2 linked regions of the Elephas maximus indicus genome follow. The protein of the gene in region 1 purifies or fractionates together with the protein of each later gene. This does not show direct contact. Links are inferred from orthologs where the notes say so. Each region holds a gene or a part of one and is shown in the gene's direction. Other genes may lie near its edges. The genes, in order: AXIN2 and GSK3A.

The links.
Region 2: the proteins of AXIN2 (region 1) and GSK3A purify together in Homo sapiens (affinity purification with mass spectrometry; 3 studies listed by BioGRID and IntAct, with this or other methods). This does not show direct contact. The link is inferred for Elephas maximus indicus from reciprocal best matches to the Homo sapiens genes AXIN2 and GSK3A.

Annotation. Positions count from the first base shown.
Region 1 is NC_064837.1:58,198,133-58,205,270, forward strand, and holds the start of AXIN2 (axin-2), read left to right. Parts: upstream 1-4,119; 5' UTR 4,120-4,136; intron 4,137-4,147; exon of another isoform or gene 4,148-4,260; intron 4,261-4,662; exon of another isoform or gene 4,663-4,919; intron 4,920-4,925; exon of another isoform or gene 4,926-5,220; intron 5,221-5,370; exon of another isoform or gene 5,371-5,743; intron 5,744-6,940; 5' UTR 6,941-7,051; coding exon 7,052-7,138. UniProt on the Homo sapiens protein: Inhibitor of the Wnt signaling pathway. Down-regulates beta-catenin. Probably facilitate the phosphorylation of beta-catenin and APC by GSK3B.
Region 2 is NC_064829.1:108,673,236-108,681,294, forward strand, and holds the start of GSK3A (glycogen synthase kinase-3 alpha), read left to right. Parts: upstream 1-4,936; 5' UTR 4,937-5,121; coding exon 5,122-5,404; intron 5,405-6,450; coding exon 6,451-6,492; intron 6,493-6,978; coding exon 6,979-7,166; intron 7,167-8,059. UniProt on the Homo sapiens protein: Constitutively active protein kinase that acts as a negative regulator in the hormonal control of glucose homeostasis, Wnt signaling and regulation of transcription factors and microtubules, by phosphorylating and inactivating glycogen synthase (GYS1 or GYS2), CTNNB1/beta-catenin, APC and AXIN1.

The DNA of each region.
Region 1 (7,138 bases):
GTCACCTCTCTCTTAGGCTGGATCAGCCTCACTGAGATGCCCATGGAAACAGCTGCCATCATTCAAGGACTGGGGAGCCGCCCAGGATCAGGCTGCGGGTAGCCCAGTTCTAGGGGTCAAAACTTTAGGGGTTGAATGAGGCACGCTTCTGTGTAATTTGAGGCTGAAGCTCTGTTCTGATTCTTTGAGGAAAACATCCCAAATCCTATTTATTAGTCCTTCCGTGGAAGTCAAGGACTCAAGATGCTCAGGCCCACCTCTTAACAGCCTTGCTCTTGGTCTCCTCACCTTGATGTGGTGGAAAAAGGAGAGGATGGACCAAGAATCAGGACCTCTGGGAGGTTCTAGCTCAGCTCTGACATGGGCAAAATGATCTTGGGAAAATCCCTTCACCCTCTCTCTGCTTGATGTCCCTCCTCTGTTAAATGATGGTATTGAATTAGATAGCATGTTAAGGACCCCTTGGGTTGGGATATTCTGATATTACTTTTTGGGCACTGGATATGGGACTGTCTTTGAAAGAGGGCAGAAAGGCACAGTCCCATTTGTTCCCCCAGCCCCAGCCCCTCTGTGCAGGGATGACAGCTAGGCTTTTGAGGACCTCTTTGGTCAGGTTCCAGGCCCCTAACCCAGGAGTATGGCTCCTAATTTGGAAGGTGTCTTTGCTCTGTAGACGGGCAGTTTCTTCCAGAACAGGTAACAGGTTATAGGTTATTGAGGAGACAGGGCAGCTACACAGAAATAACCACCATGTTTTGAGTGCCTACTATGTGTCAAGCACCTTGCTGGGCATTTTCTTTATGGCTCATCCCTACCACAGCCTTTTGAGGGGGCGGTTTTTCCACTCTATAGGTGAACAAAGGGAGACTCCCAGTGGTTGGGTCACCTACAGTCTTGGGAAAGGTTACCTGTGTCTCTCTCCACCTCCCTCCCTAAACAAAGCTACATTGTCTAAGGCGGCACTTTTCCAAAGAAATTAAAGGCAACGTTTCTGAATCTTAGCGAGCCACGTCTTGGGTCTGAGTTCCCCTGGAGCCCCGGCGGTGTGACTTTCCTTCCAGAGTGGCTTTTGTGGGGCTCACTAAAGGTCAGCGATCTGGCCAGATGCCTCTCAGGCAGCCCGGAGTCCTGGTTTTCTGGGATTCTAGGATTTCAGTCCAGTACATAATTCCAGAAGAGAATCACCAACCACCCCCCCTCCAGCTTTATTAAACTTGTCTGCACTTGGGCAAAGTGGCCTGTTTATTCTCTGTAGGGTTTTTCTTTAAAGGGGGGCGGGGAGTGAGCATGTGCAGAAATCCATCACCTTGCTTTCTAGTTTCCAGGCAACCATGCAGGATTACAACAAGTCACATGATAGTGCTGCTGCCAGGGAGAAGGGGAAAATGGAACATGGTGCTATCTTGAGAAAGGGGCTGAGTAAAAGCAAAGGACTTTGGCTTTTTCTCTAGAAATATTATCAACAAGTAGTCAAAGACACAGAGGCTAGAGAGAGCTTCTGGCTTCTCAGCACTTTGCCCTGTCTCCTGCTGGGTGGAAAATGTACCACAGAGAAGTAGAGGAGAGAGGGGAGCAGGGCAGGGGTGAGATGGGGGGGCAGTCATGGGCCTGAGGTGACCAAGCACCTGTTGTGGTAGCCAGGCTCCCTCTCCAAAGGGCTGTTCCTGAGAAGATCCAAAGTGAGCCAGGCCTTGCTCCTGCTTCCCACGGTCAGCCCCTCCTTCCTGCCACTGCAGCACTGGGATAATGAGGGCACTGAAGGGGTGTCCTTTGGTTAAAGGGATCCTATGATGATGAGGGCTGGGTGGGGGGCCGTGAAGGGTCAGCCGGGACAGCAGGGAGGGGAGGAAAGCCACCCATGAAGACCAAGTTTCCACTTCCTGTTTTGAACCTTCCTCTTTCTGAATGCTGTTTATTTTGATTTTGATGTTTTGATATTTCCACCTCCCCTCCCCCACATTGTGTGTGTGTGTGTGTGTGTGTGTGTGTGTGTGTGTGCGTGCGCACGTGCACGCTGTTGTTTATATTGTAGATGCTTCTATGGCAATTCATTCCATTCCTCTCTGTATACATTTTTGTTCCTTAATAACACCCTCTGTGGCCTAAAGACTCCCTGGAGCCACAGGTTCTGACCCAAGGGACAGCTTTGTTCTTTGCTCTCCTGGAGTGGGGTGGGTGTGCCCTTGGCCCTGGGTCCCATACACCAGCTCAGAGCTCACACCCACAAGCCACATGAGAGGGGCCGGCAGCCATTCACCCTTGGGATTCCAGGAGGCTGGGCCAGGAGACGGAGCCAACCTGAGACAGACTGGCTTCCAGTGTCCTCACACCCAACAGTGACCCAAAGATGACTCATCAGGCCACACTCTCTCTGACCTTCCTGGTTTGCCCTGAGGTGGCTGTATTTCATAGCCTGGACTGCTGGCTTTAAGCCAGCCCTGCCACCTGGGGAGGTGTTGCCCAGAGGGGCAAATGTGGACACAGAGAGGCAGGTCTCCTGGAGGGAGATGCTGCCCTCCTTGGCACCCAGGAGCTGGAGACTATGGCAGCATGGGTGCAAAGGCTGTATAGTCCCTTGTCCCACCGTTCTATGCTGAGGGCAGTGGAATGCTGTCCCTGAGGTTTGCCCTTTTCCAGCATACCATGGGTGGCATATCTTCTTTGTCTTTTCCTGTGGAAACCTAAACAGCCTGATGAGGGGTTAGAGGCACCTCTACATTTAAAAGAGCTTGTCAGACATAAAGGTCCCTGGGTGGAACAAACGGTTTGCAATCAGCTGCTAACTGAAAGGTTGGTGGTTCAAGCCCACCCAGCAAGAAAGGCCTCGTGATCTCTTTCCCTAAAGATTCCAGCTGTGAAAACCCTATGGGGCAGCTGTACTCCTTAACACGTGGGGTGGCCGTGAGTTGGAATCTACTCTACAGCACCAGGGTTGCTTGGTTTTAGTCAGACATGAAATTAAAGAAGAAAGAAAATGAAGAAAAAGTGAGTGGAAGTGGAGAGCCAAATCCCAGGCTTAGCTCTGATGAGGCTGGGGGCTCTGCCCAGCAGTTCTTGACGCTCCTTGGTTTATACTCTGAATGCTTTTTAAGAGGAAGAGTTAACTTTTTAGGTCATCCCATGAGAGATCATTCTCAAGCAATAGATGAACAAACATATAATGTTCCGGGATGTGTGGTATATTTTCTTACTGTCCTAGGGGAAAAGAGAAGGTTGTGTCCCATGAACATTATTGGGGGAAGGTGGGACCGTGGCAGTGCGATGAGGTGCTTTCAATACGTTAAAACCGCGGTGTCTAGGGGGAAAGAAGACAGCCCATGTCAGCTTAATACGTAACATATGGGAGGACGGAGGACGCTTGGAAGAGAATGACGGGTGTGCAGCTGCTACAGAGAGATGGTCAATGTGCGTGCAGTGAAGGATCCGCTGGGCCAGGCCAGGTTAGGAGTTGGGATTAAATCTTCGGGAAATTTAGGAATGCTTCCTAACGAGGTGTCAGGGAGCGTCTCCAAGCTCTCAGGCCTGTGCTAGTAGATTCACGCCCTCATCTTCCCACTTCCACATACGCACCTTAGCCCTGTATTTACCCAAACTCAGATCGCGCGCACATGCACGCACACGCCTGCGCCCGAGCCCGCGGACGCTCTATGACACTTGGCCTGTCGATCCCAGGGCTAGAAATCCCTTTACAAGGATCTCCAAGACCAAATTCTCAGAGAAACTTTAATAGGAGGTAGAAAAGTGTTTGATGATAGGGGGAAAAAAAATCTGCTTGCTTGCAGTTCTGGCGATCGCCAGAATGCTACAATAAACTGTTGCATTCCAGAGCTGGGGAGGGCGAGGGAAGGCAGGGGAGGAGGCGAGAGCAAAGAGACCAGAGAACTTGGAAGACGAAATCAGAAACTCGGGCTGCGAAAGCCGCTGGGGCCGCGGGGGGCTGGCAAGGGGCGGAGGAGGCCGGGGAAGGGTTAACGCGGGCGCAGAGCGTGCGGCGGGGGCGGGTCGGGAGCGGGTGCTGTCCCTTTAAGGCGGGCGGCGCGGGCCAGCCGAGCGCGGCTGTGATAGGCGCGGCGGGATCACTGGCTCCTGAAGCCGGGCCCGGGGGAGTCGGCTGGAGCCGGCTGCGCTTTGATAAGGTCCTGGCAACTCAGTAACGACCCGAGCGCCTGGAAATAAAAATACCCCCCAATAGCCTAGGCTTTTGGGGCGGCCCGGCGTCGGAGCCGCCCGTCTCCCCCGCAGAAAACTCTGGTGTAAAAGGTGGGGGTGCAGGCCTGGGCCCCGAAGAGCTGCTTCCGAGGAAGCCTCCTCTTGGCCCTGGGACGAGGTCGCGCCAAGCCCCATCGCGGGCTCGGGGGGAGGGGGGCCCGGTGGGGCCGAGGCCGGGCTGGGGAGGGGGCCGCGGGCCCGACGGCCCACAGGAGGGGTGCTGGGGGTGCGGGGGGCGGCCCGGTGCGCGGCGGGCGCGTACCTCCCTTTCAGGACCGTGCGCTCGGCTCGCGCCTTTGAAGTGCACAGTTAAATCCACAGCGCAGTTTTTGTTGGAAGCGCCCGGAGGACATTTGGTGCGCGGAGTAACTGCTGGAAACAGGACCTGTGTTGAAAGCCGGCCGGGCGGGGGCCGAGGGGCCGGGGGCGGCCGCGGCGGGGCGGTGGGGGCGGAGGCCCGGGCGAATCTTTTGCATAAAAGGGGCGGCGGGGCGAGCTGCGCGACCCTCCCTAGCCGGTGGATTGCGCTCTAATCCGAGCTTGTTGTTCCACCGCCCCCTCCCCGCCGCGCGACTCCCCATGCTCCCCGCCGCCGGGGACGGCCCGGGGGGGCCCGGGGCTGCCGCCGCGAGCCGAGCCGGGGGCCGGGGCCGGGGCCCTGCCCAGGGCGCCAACGAGGTTTCGCCGCGGAGCGCGCGCGCGGATCAATGGTGAGTGCCAGGCAGAGTCGGCGGGGCGGCCCGCGCGCTTTGATGTACCGGGCGGCCCTTTGAAGTTCTGGCGAGCTATTTCGGGGCGCGCTCCGCGCCGGCGTGCAGTGGAGCAGCGGGCCCGGCGCCCAGCACTCTGGGGGCTCTGCCTGGACGCCCTGAACCGAAGCCCCCTCCCCAGCACTGGCCGGGATGGCTGGGGGCCTGGCCAGGAGACTTGGCCAAGTGACGGCGGCGGCGGAGAGGGGCAGGTTCCCCCAGGGGTCGCGCCGCTATTGCTGTTATGGATGGGAGTCAGAGTGTGAGTGTGCGCGGGAGTGCTTTTGGAAGGTGGGATGAAAGGGTGGTGGCTCCCCGCCCTCCCCGCGCGCCCTCCCTCAGCCCTCTCCCCCACCCAGCTCCTCTCCCTCCCCCTCCCTTTCACCCCTCCCTGCGCTAAGGGGCCCGGAGCGCCTGCCCTGGCTCAGTCTGCGCGCAGGACCGGCCCGAGCCCGGGCGCCCGCGTGCCGTCTCCCCGCCCGGGCCCCGCGCCCCTGGCCGCATCGGCCCCGGTTGCGGAGCGGCGGAGACTCCGCGCGTCGCCATTTCTGGACTTGGCCTCTGCTTTCCGTGGTTTTTCTGCGGGCGCCTCGGCGAGCGTGGAGCGGGGGACCGGCCCGGTTCGGTCCCGGGGCACTACCCTCACCCCCCGGGGCTCCGGGCCCGCGCTCGACGGCACTCTCGGCGGGGCTTAGGACGCGTTTGGTTTGCTTTGGGCTGGGGGGCCGGTGCGGAGGGGCTTGGCAGAGATGAGAGCCCGGCCTCGGTCCGCCTTCGTCTGCCAGGTAACGGGGCCGCCCCACCTCCCCTCCCCCGGGTACCGTGGGCGGCTGCCGGGGGCCCCTCCATTCCGTCAGCTGCGGTGCCCTGCCCGGCCGCGGAGGCCCCAGGCGGGGGCCGCGCGCACCCAACCCTGGTCGGGGAGCCCCGGCGCCTCGCCGGGGGTCGCGCCGTATCCCTGGCCCCCCCGCCCTCCTTATTTTGATCCTTCCCTTGCTAGGGAAAGAGGCTTCTTTACTGGTTAGATAAGACTTTTTTTTTTTTTTTTTTTTAAAGGCTTCAGATCGGTAGAGTTTGGGATTCTTGGTACAGGCAGTGGTAGCGTGAGACGGTTTCTGATCCGGTTTTGTAGGGTTCGCTCCCGGAGGTGGGCGGGAGGGGGGAACCCGGGCGGCGGGTCCCGAGGCTTCTCTGTTCTCTTGCAAAGTTTGAAGATCAAAGGCTAGGCTGAGTGAGTTGGTTCTGGTTTGGGGGAGACCGAGGTGGAGATGGAGTCGGATTCTTGGCTGGGGGAGGGCGCAGCGGACATTTACATCTAGGTTGGGGTGGGGGCGTTTGCCTGCTGGATCTCGGCGTCCGAGAGCCCATTCCGCCCTGTGCTGGGCGGGCTTCTGAATTTTTAAGGAGTGGAAGGGGGAGCGCAGAAGGAAGGGGGTGGAAGGGGGAATGGGAACCAGATGCCGAGGAAGGGCACGTTTGGAGCTCCAGTTATCTGTGCGGAGAGCTGAGTTGGGAAACTTACCGAAATTGGTTTCACCTGTACGCAGCCCCGCGCCTCGGAGTGGGTCGTTTGGAGTTGATGCTATCGGGGGAGGGGGAAGGAGTGGGGAGGCGTGGGCCGCGCTGCCCTGCGTGCGTGGATGCATGGGCAGAGCGGGTTTTTGGAAGGTTCTGTCTCCCACAGTCCCTACCCTCCTTCTGTCCCCCTTGCTTGCATCTCCGTTCTTCCCCATCTCCACTTCCCCGCCCCTCTCCACCCACCCCCTCCCCCCCAAAAAATACTGGGAGCTCAGATTTCGCCTTTGAAAAAGCAGCGTCTGATACTTCAGATGCGCACCTCACAGATAGCTGGGTTGCTTGATTTGAATTTGAGGAGTTGAAAAGCCTGTTTACTTTCTTGCTTTGATGTTGGGTAGATCTGGTTTTGATTAGATCAATGCCCTTTTCTCTCTTCCCACCTCCCCCCTTCCTTTTCTTTCCAGAGAGGAGGCTCAGATGAGCCCCTGCTGACTTAAGAGAGAAAGAGAGACCACGCTGATTGCTGAGAGGAACTGGAAGGAAAAAAGCCCAAACTCAGTGAGAACTCCCTCACCATGAGTAGCGCTGCGTTGGTGACTCGCCTCCCGGACCCAAGCAGTAGCTTCCGCGAGGATGCCCCACGGCCCCCAGTCCCTGGGGAG
Region 2 (8,059 bases), on another chromosome or scaffold:
CCCCTCCCACCCCCTCCCCAAATGCCCTGGAGGTGAGGGCAGCTCTAGTCTTTTCCCACCTCCTCCCTGTCCCCTCCTCACATTTTGTATAAAACTTTTTTTTTTTTTTAATGGTTGGGGAGGGTGGGTGCCCAGGGCTATCTCCTGTCTCTGTGGGTTTCTAAGCTCTGGACAAAGTGGTGGGAGGGAGGGGGGGGAGAAGTTGGGGAGGTAAGGGGGCTGCCTCCATTCTGGGGAATTTTTATTTGAACGAGGCTTTGGCCTCAACACCCAGGAACTTTTTTATTATAATTGCCTAGGAAGTAAAGCCGTCTCCCTTCTGTCCTCTGCCTCTCATGCCTCTCTTCTGCCCCCAGGTGGTCCCAGTCCCAACCCTGCCTTCCCTGCCCTTCCAGGGGCCATGAGTGCCTGGGTTTCTCATACCCCACAAGGTCGCAGCAGGGGAGGGAGGGACAATTTTTATGATGAACCAAAAATTCCGTGGGGGGGGGTGGAGGGGGGTGGAGGAGGGTGAGGGGTACCACCCATGGGCCACAAATCTCTACAAGTGCCTGCTATCTCTCTCCCATTCTCCACCCCAGCACCAGTCCGATCCCTACACCCCCAGCTGCTCCTAGGACTGGCCCATGGGCAGGTGGGTGCAGGGGGTGGAAAAGGGGGGTGCCCTGAAACCAAACTGGAAACCCCCTCTGCCTCCCAGCTGGGGCCCCTGGGGTGGGGTGGGGGGCTGTGGTCAAGCCTTATTCTGTATTGGGGATGGGGGGGTGGGAGGTAGGGAGGGGCTGCTGGAGAATGTATTCAAAACAATAAAACTTCGGACCTTTTTCATGCAGTGATCTGTCCTGGGTGCTGGGTGTAGGCACCACGGGGCCACAGCTTTGGCTTGATTTTCAAAAGACAGGGCCCTGGACTTCCCTGCACCTGCAGTGGGTCTGTGGCCTGGTCTAAATGGGTCAAATCCGGGCCTGGGAAGTGACCTCCTGACCTCAGAAATGATTCAGGTCTCAGCAGACTCTGGCCCTGTATCTGACTGCTTCTTTATTCCTGGAAAAGTGCTTGGGACTTATCGCCACCACCGAGTTGCTCTCACTGTTCTGGTCACCTGAAATGCCCTGGCTCCAAGTTCCCATACCCTGAGGTCCCTAGTGAGGGCCAGGGAGTGCTTTTGCACTGCCCCCATATCTCGCCTTAGGTCACTTCTAAGCAAATCAGGAAATCCCTGGGAGACAAGTCCTGAAACATCTTGAAATGTTAGACCTTACTACGTACCTTAGTGGAAACGCCCCCAGCCAGCAAGTTGAGGAGGGACTGGTTTGATAACCACAGTTAACCATTCATTGACCTACTTCGTGCCCAGCACCTAGCTAGAAGCTGCAGTGGTTTATCTCCTTCAAGACCCAGCAAGGTAGGGGCAACCAGCTCAGTTAAATGACTTGCCCAAGGCCAAGAGGCGGTAGGAAGCAGAGCCAGGACTTTAAATGAGATCAGCCTCCAAAGCCAGTGTTCTTTCAACAACTCCTTTGAGTTTTCCTCCTTAAAGCCAAGATGGTTGGATCAAGATCAGGGACTTGGGATCACAGGATAAAGTTAGAAACCAAGATTGGAGAGCTTTGTAGGATGAGGGATCAAATAATCCGTGAGAAATCCGGGTTTAAAGTTTCCTTAGAGACAAGCTCAACCTCTTCAGTGCAAGTGAGGTCCTTGAGGAAGAGAAGAGAAGGGGTTTCCCCAAGGCCATGGCATTTAGGGCTTAGGGCTTGTTGGATTGGCTTCACTGCAGTACCACCCGGTGCAAGCCTGAGGGGGATGGAACATTGGCAACTGTCTACCCACTCTCCCTTAAACCTCATCTCATGCAAGCCCAGAGTGGGTGGTCCCAGATAATGGCAGTGAAGAGGATCCAGGGATGGGGTATTGGCAGGAAATCCAGACTCCTATGGCGGGCTGCGGGCAACTGCTCCCTCTCCTGGGTGATGTAAGTCACTCCCTGGGGTGGGGGCCCCTGGGAGCGGCTGTGCTGGGTTATTTCTGGAAGTTGGGCTGAGGCATGTCTCCTAGCAACACAGATGCAGTTGAGAAATTATTGGTGGTGGGTGATGGAGAAAGGGGGGTGTCACTGGAGGAAGGGGGGTAGGACCCTTAGCTCATGAAGAGTTTTTTTCAAACACTGCTAACCAATTCTAAAATGGATTAAAACGTTCTCAGCTCCAGAACTGCTCTCCAGGATCAGACCACAGTCCTATCAGCCTTCTTGTCCCAGATTCTGGATAAGGGGATGTCAGGTAGCATCTGGGCTTGACAACTCCAGTGGCTCCCCCAATCTTGAATGACACATCTAAATCTATTCACAGGCCTGAAATACTAAAGTGTCCTGCAAGACACCCTTGGTTCTCTCCATCTCCTCTGAAGTCTTTGGCTACAAGTATAAAGTACTTTATAGATTCTTTACATATTCACTTACCTCATCAGAGACCCTCTTCACATCTAATAGCCCCCAGCACCCCGACAGATCCCTATAGCCCCTTCCTGATGCTTCTCAACCATCCCTCAACCCTTCAGGTCCCTCAGAGATCCCTTAGACACCAGTAGATTCTCCATCTCCCAAAAGCCTTTTACGTCCCCTCAGACTTCTCTGCTTGTCCCCAATAATTGCTCTCAGGTGCCTACAGCCCATCAAAGATCCCTTCACCTCTTCAAACCCTCAAACCCTCCTGACACCGTTAGGCCCCTCATAGACACAACCCATCCCTAGCACCTGTCTATGAATGTTTTCAGCCCCTACAAACATCCTGACAGATGCCCTTAGATCGTCGCCCTCAGACTCCCATGGGCCCCAATAACCTCAGCAGCGGTTGCCTACGCGGAGCCCACTGCGTATGTTCTGGCCGTTAAGTAACCGCCGCTACCCTGCCCCGCTCTGCCGGCCTTGTCGACCTCCGTCCTGTCCAGTGTGGTCTCCAGGCCCTGGCGCTTGGCTCAGATTTTTACTTTCCTGCTCCAAGCTGCCGTCAGAGGGCAGCAGGCGCCGCTTAGCGAGAAACTACAACTCCCAGAAACACCTGCTTCAAGCTATGCGTGATACAGCCTCATGCCGTGAGAAAGAAACGGAGCGTGCCCGCGTTTTGCCTTCTGGATGATGTAGTCCGAAAAGGTTTTAGCGCTAAAGCCAATCTCGCCCCAGGGCGCTGTGTCTGCTGGGAATTGCAGTTAGAAACACACTGAGTGGACGGGATTTTCTTTAGGCCTCAGAAAAGAGCAGAACAGTTCTGCTACCTGAGGCTTGGATTAGCGTCCAAAGACTCCATTTCCCACCATTCCACGAGGCAGGAGGAGCCAAGAGCGCTTTCGCTCTAGTTTCAAGTGTTGGGGGTGAGACGCACGCACGCACGCACGCACGCACGCACGCACGCATGCACGCACAGACGAACTCTGTTTCCCAGCGCACTTTGGGGTTACGCTCCTTCTCGTTTAATTGATGAGGCGACTCAACGAACACCAACCCTAGGCTACAGCTTGCAGCTGGCTTCGCTGTTTTGAGCGCTCCGAACCTCAAACAAAACGCAATGCCGTGCATTCAATTCTGACTCATAGCGACCCTGTAGGACAGATCAGAACTGCCCCCAGGGTTTCCAAGGCTGTTTTTTTTTTTTTTTTTTTTACATCTTTTCGGAAGCAGAGTGCCCCATCTTTCTACCGCAGAGCAGCTGGTGGATTCCCAACCACTGACCTTTGGGTAGAAGCCGAAGGCTTAATCACTGTGCCACTCGAGCTCCTGTGAGCCCTCCAGGATCCTGTAACTTAGGATGCGGGCGGACGCAAAGAGCTGAGTGGGGGTTCAAGACAAATTCTATTTTCATTTCTTTTAACGCTTGGCTCAGCCTCGTAGTGCGACACATGTTAGAAAAAGATAGACCGTATCCGAAAACTGTGTTCTGAAAGACTGTTTCCCAAATCTTTTAGAGGAGGGATGTTTTTCTTTTTCTGCCTAATGTAAGGACACCTGGAACTTGAGTGCTCGGACTCAATTTTTCAACATCCCCCGATCGACTTCGGCACTTTCTTGGGTCCTGGGGGACAAAAAAGGAGGCGTTGAAACACATTTCAGTATCTCAAGGGGAGTGCCATCTGGCTCAGTGGTAGTCATTGGACTCCATTTCCCGGCAAGCCCCTGCGGTCTCGTTTCACAGAGGGGGGGTCAGAATCCGGCCTGGACCCTGGACTATTCCCCAGCGTGCTTCAGGCTCAAAGTGACAACCTTCCTCTTCTCCTCACCCCTCCCCCCGCCAATGGGGAGGCTACCTTGAACTTCAATCCCCAGAAGCCACCACTCCTCGTGTAGCAACTGCGCTGACGCCTTGGTGTCGACTACATTTCCCGACAGGAAGTGCGGCGGAGCGTACAAGGGAGGGGGGACGAGGTTCCAACTCCATTTCCTAGCCTATCTCCGGAACTGCAGTACCCCCTGGGGCTGAGGAACCTCACAGGACTCCATTTCCCGGCTTGCTTTGGGAACTCCTTTACATCCGCAATGCGGTGTGGGCGCGGCCACGACTCCATTTCCCAGTTTGCCCCACGGTTCGATATCTTCAAGTCTACGGACCGACTCAATTTCCCAGTGTGCACCTGGAGCCGGTATTCACTGGTTACCGGACTCCAATTCCCGGCATGCACCAGACACTGCTCATTGACGGAGTGCCTGCGACTACTTTTCTGAAGCACCTCTCGGGGCTCGCCGTTGCCGCAGTGTAATAAGTGTGGGGCCCTGACTATGTTCCAAAGTGCTTCGCGTTCCGCCGTCTGCAGTTCACCGATGGATTGCCCAGGAATTTATTTCCCAGCGTGCAGTGCGACCCGTCGTCCCCCGCCATCTTCCCTGTGGCCTTTGCGAACTCCATTTCCCGGCGTACCACGCGGCTTTCTCTACGGGCCGACGGCGGTGACACCGACGCGCAAAGCAAGCGGACTGCATCTCCCGACGTGCTCCGCGGCGGGCGCTGGGCCGGAGCCCGAGCGGCGCGGCCTGAAGGAGGCCGGAGCACTGAGGAGGCGGCGGCAGCAGCAGCGGCGGCGGGGGCAGCCCGGGGAGCCCGAGCCCCTTGGCCTGGGTCTGCGCTCGGCGCCATGAGCGGTGGCGCGCCTTCGGGGGGCGGCCCTGGGGGCTCGGGCCGGGCGCGGACCAGCTCGTTCGCGGAACCGGGCGGCGGAGGCGGAGGCGGCGGTGGCGGCCCCGGGGGCTCGGCCTCCGGTCCAGGCGGCAGTGGCGGCGGGAAGGCGTCGGTCGGGGCCATGGGTGCGGGCGTGGGGACCTCGAGCTCCGGGGGTGGCCCCAACAGCAGCGGCGGAGGAGGCAGCGGCGGCCCAGGCGCGGGCACCAGCTTCCCGCCGCCCGGAGTGAAGCTGGGCCGTGAGTACTGGCTGCTCCCGTGGGAGGTGGAGATTGGGATTCCCGGGGTCCCTCAAATGTCGATCAGGTTCTTTCATATACCCAGATAAGAGCCTGAGGTCATTGTGCCTCCCAAAACTGGCGTTTGAGCTTTTTACTTTTCAGAGAAATGAATTTTGGGGTCACCATTATTTAGAGTTTACAGTCAGAATTATTAACTTTTAGAGAAGCGGGCTACAGTCCGTGCTCTTCCATTACCAATGTCTCGCGTTTTTGAGTTTTAAAAACAAGTTTGGATATTCGTATCCCTTAAAGAACAGGTTTTGGGGTCACTGTCCTTTGCAAATGGGGGCCTAAGATTATTGTGTTCTAAGAAAACAAGAATAAGATCGCCATCCTCCAAAAAGGGAGATCCGAATTTGTTGTCTCTCAAAGACTGGGGATCTGGATTCAGTATCATTTACAAACGGGGATTTGGGGTTATTGTGTCCCAAAGAACAGGGCAAGGGTTTTCTAAACCTGATAACCAGGTCATCTTCCCTTTTAAAACACCTGGTCGGGCGTCATCACCGGCCCAAAATATGTAGTACTAAACCCCCAATGGTGGAAATTATTGATTATTGCATCTGAGCAATAAGGACAGGTGTCACCAGCCCCCCACAGAACAGGAATTGAGAGTCACCATGCCTTTCAAATCCACTGTTATTTAAAGAACATGGATCGGTGGGTGTTTTTTCACAAAAATGGAATGGGGGGGGGGAAGAGTCCTCCCTAGAATGTGGATTTGAAGTCGTAATTCTCTTAGTAATTTTTCTGGAGTATGGTGCCACTGGGTCTGAAAAAGTGATGTAGGGTCATCTCTCTCCAAAAGAGAATCGCTGTTACTGGGTCCTCAGTTCTCAAAAGAAAAGGGGTCACTATTCTCTAAGAATGGTTCCAAAGTTTGCTGCTCTTCAGAGAATGGGGATTGGGAGTCATAGTTTTTCTTTAAAGAACTGAGGCTGGGAGAGCCCCCTGATGATAGGGATTAAGTTCATCATTCTCACAATTTGGTGCTTGTCTGTCAGGTAGGAGTCTGGGGCCCTGGACTACCCAGATGAGGAGGTCAGGTCAGTGCCTTTTCTAACCCCGTAGTAATTGGGTAAGGGGTAACTCCTCCAAAAGTGAGAGTCAGGGTACCACCACTCTATGAGGAGAGGTCGTTCGTTTTTGTCACCAAGTTACTAGCTCTACCTGAGAAACTTAGAAATTACTAGCCCCGCAGGCGTTTTCTCAAAATAGGAGTATCTCAGGGTTATCGTTCCGTTAAAAGTCAATAAACCCAGAGTAGATGGATTCAACCAAGAGTGACCAGCCATTTATTGCTTTCTAGAATGGAAGTTGTATTATCAGCTCTTGAACAGTGAAGAGATTTAGGTGTCAACATGCTCCCCTATGGAAAGAGGCAGGATTTAGGGTTTCACTGGGAGGGTTCCAGCATCCACCTTGCCTCAAGGAGGGGGAAGGAACAAAGAGGCCCCCTCCCCACAGCCCTGGGATGGGGTGGTGGCCAGAGGGGAAATGTCAGTGGATCATCTGTCCCCATTGTCCCCCAGGTGACAGCGGGAAAGTGACCACAGTGGTAGCCACCCTAGGCCAGGGCCCAGAGCGCTCCCAGGAGGTGGCTTACACAGACATCAAGGTGATTGGCAATGGCTCTTTTGGGGTCGTGTACCAGGCACGGCTGGCCGAGACCGGGGAGCTGGTGGCCATCAAGAAGGTTCTCCAGGACAAGAGGTTCAAGGTACTTAGGGGGGAATGGGAAGAGGAGAGTTGGGCATTGGACGTAACCTGGTGCGAGAGCCCTAGCAAAACAGATGGAGCCTGGGTTCCACAGGAGATCCAATCATGGCCCAGAGGAGAAAGGGGTAAAGAAGGGAACGAGGTGTAGGGAAGACAGGAAGTGTTGAATCCTGGAGATACCAGAGCTGACATTTGTTGAGCGTTCATTCTGCGTAAGTGCTTTATGAGGTTCCTGGGTGGTGCAAACGGTTTGCGCTCAGCTACCAACAGAAAGGTTGGTGGTTGAACCCATCTAAGCAGTGCCTCAGAAAGAAAGACCGAACAATCTGCTTCCCTAAAGATCACAGCCAAGAAGATCCTGCAGAGCTTTGTTCTACTCTGTGACACGTGTAACGTATGCTTCATAGGCAAGCTTTTAGCTAATTTACATATTCTCTGAGGGTTGGTACTGTCCTTATTCCCGTTCTAAGCAGGCAGAAACTGAGACTCAGATAAGCGAATTGCATAGGAAGCGTCTACGTTAAGGTTGGAGTCTGGCCTGTCTGATTGCCAGGCCCTGCACCTTAACTTCTAGTTACATTTCTTCCCAGAGGAGAAAGGACACTGGCAGGGCCATGGAGGTCCACTCTGCCCCAGGTGCTTGGCGAGTTGCGCTCACCAAACCCTGCACTTTGCTGCCGGATGCCCTTCTCTCATTCATGTGAAGGTGCCCAATGGGCTAGTGGAGGCCCAGGGCACTAGAAGAAGATGGAGAAGAAGAAAGTAGAGGAATAACTGGTGTGCAAAGGACTGGCATTTTGGAGTCTGGTCTAGTCTGGATGTAGGTTAGGAGGGGAACATGGTCAAGGCCTAGGATTTCTTGGGCAGGGTGTCGATCAGAATTTGCTAAGAGTT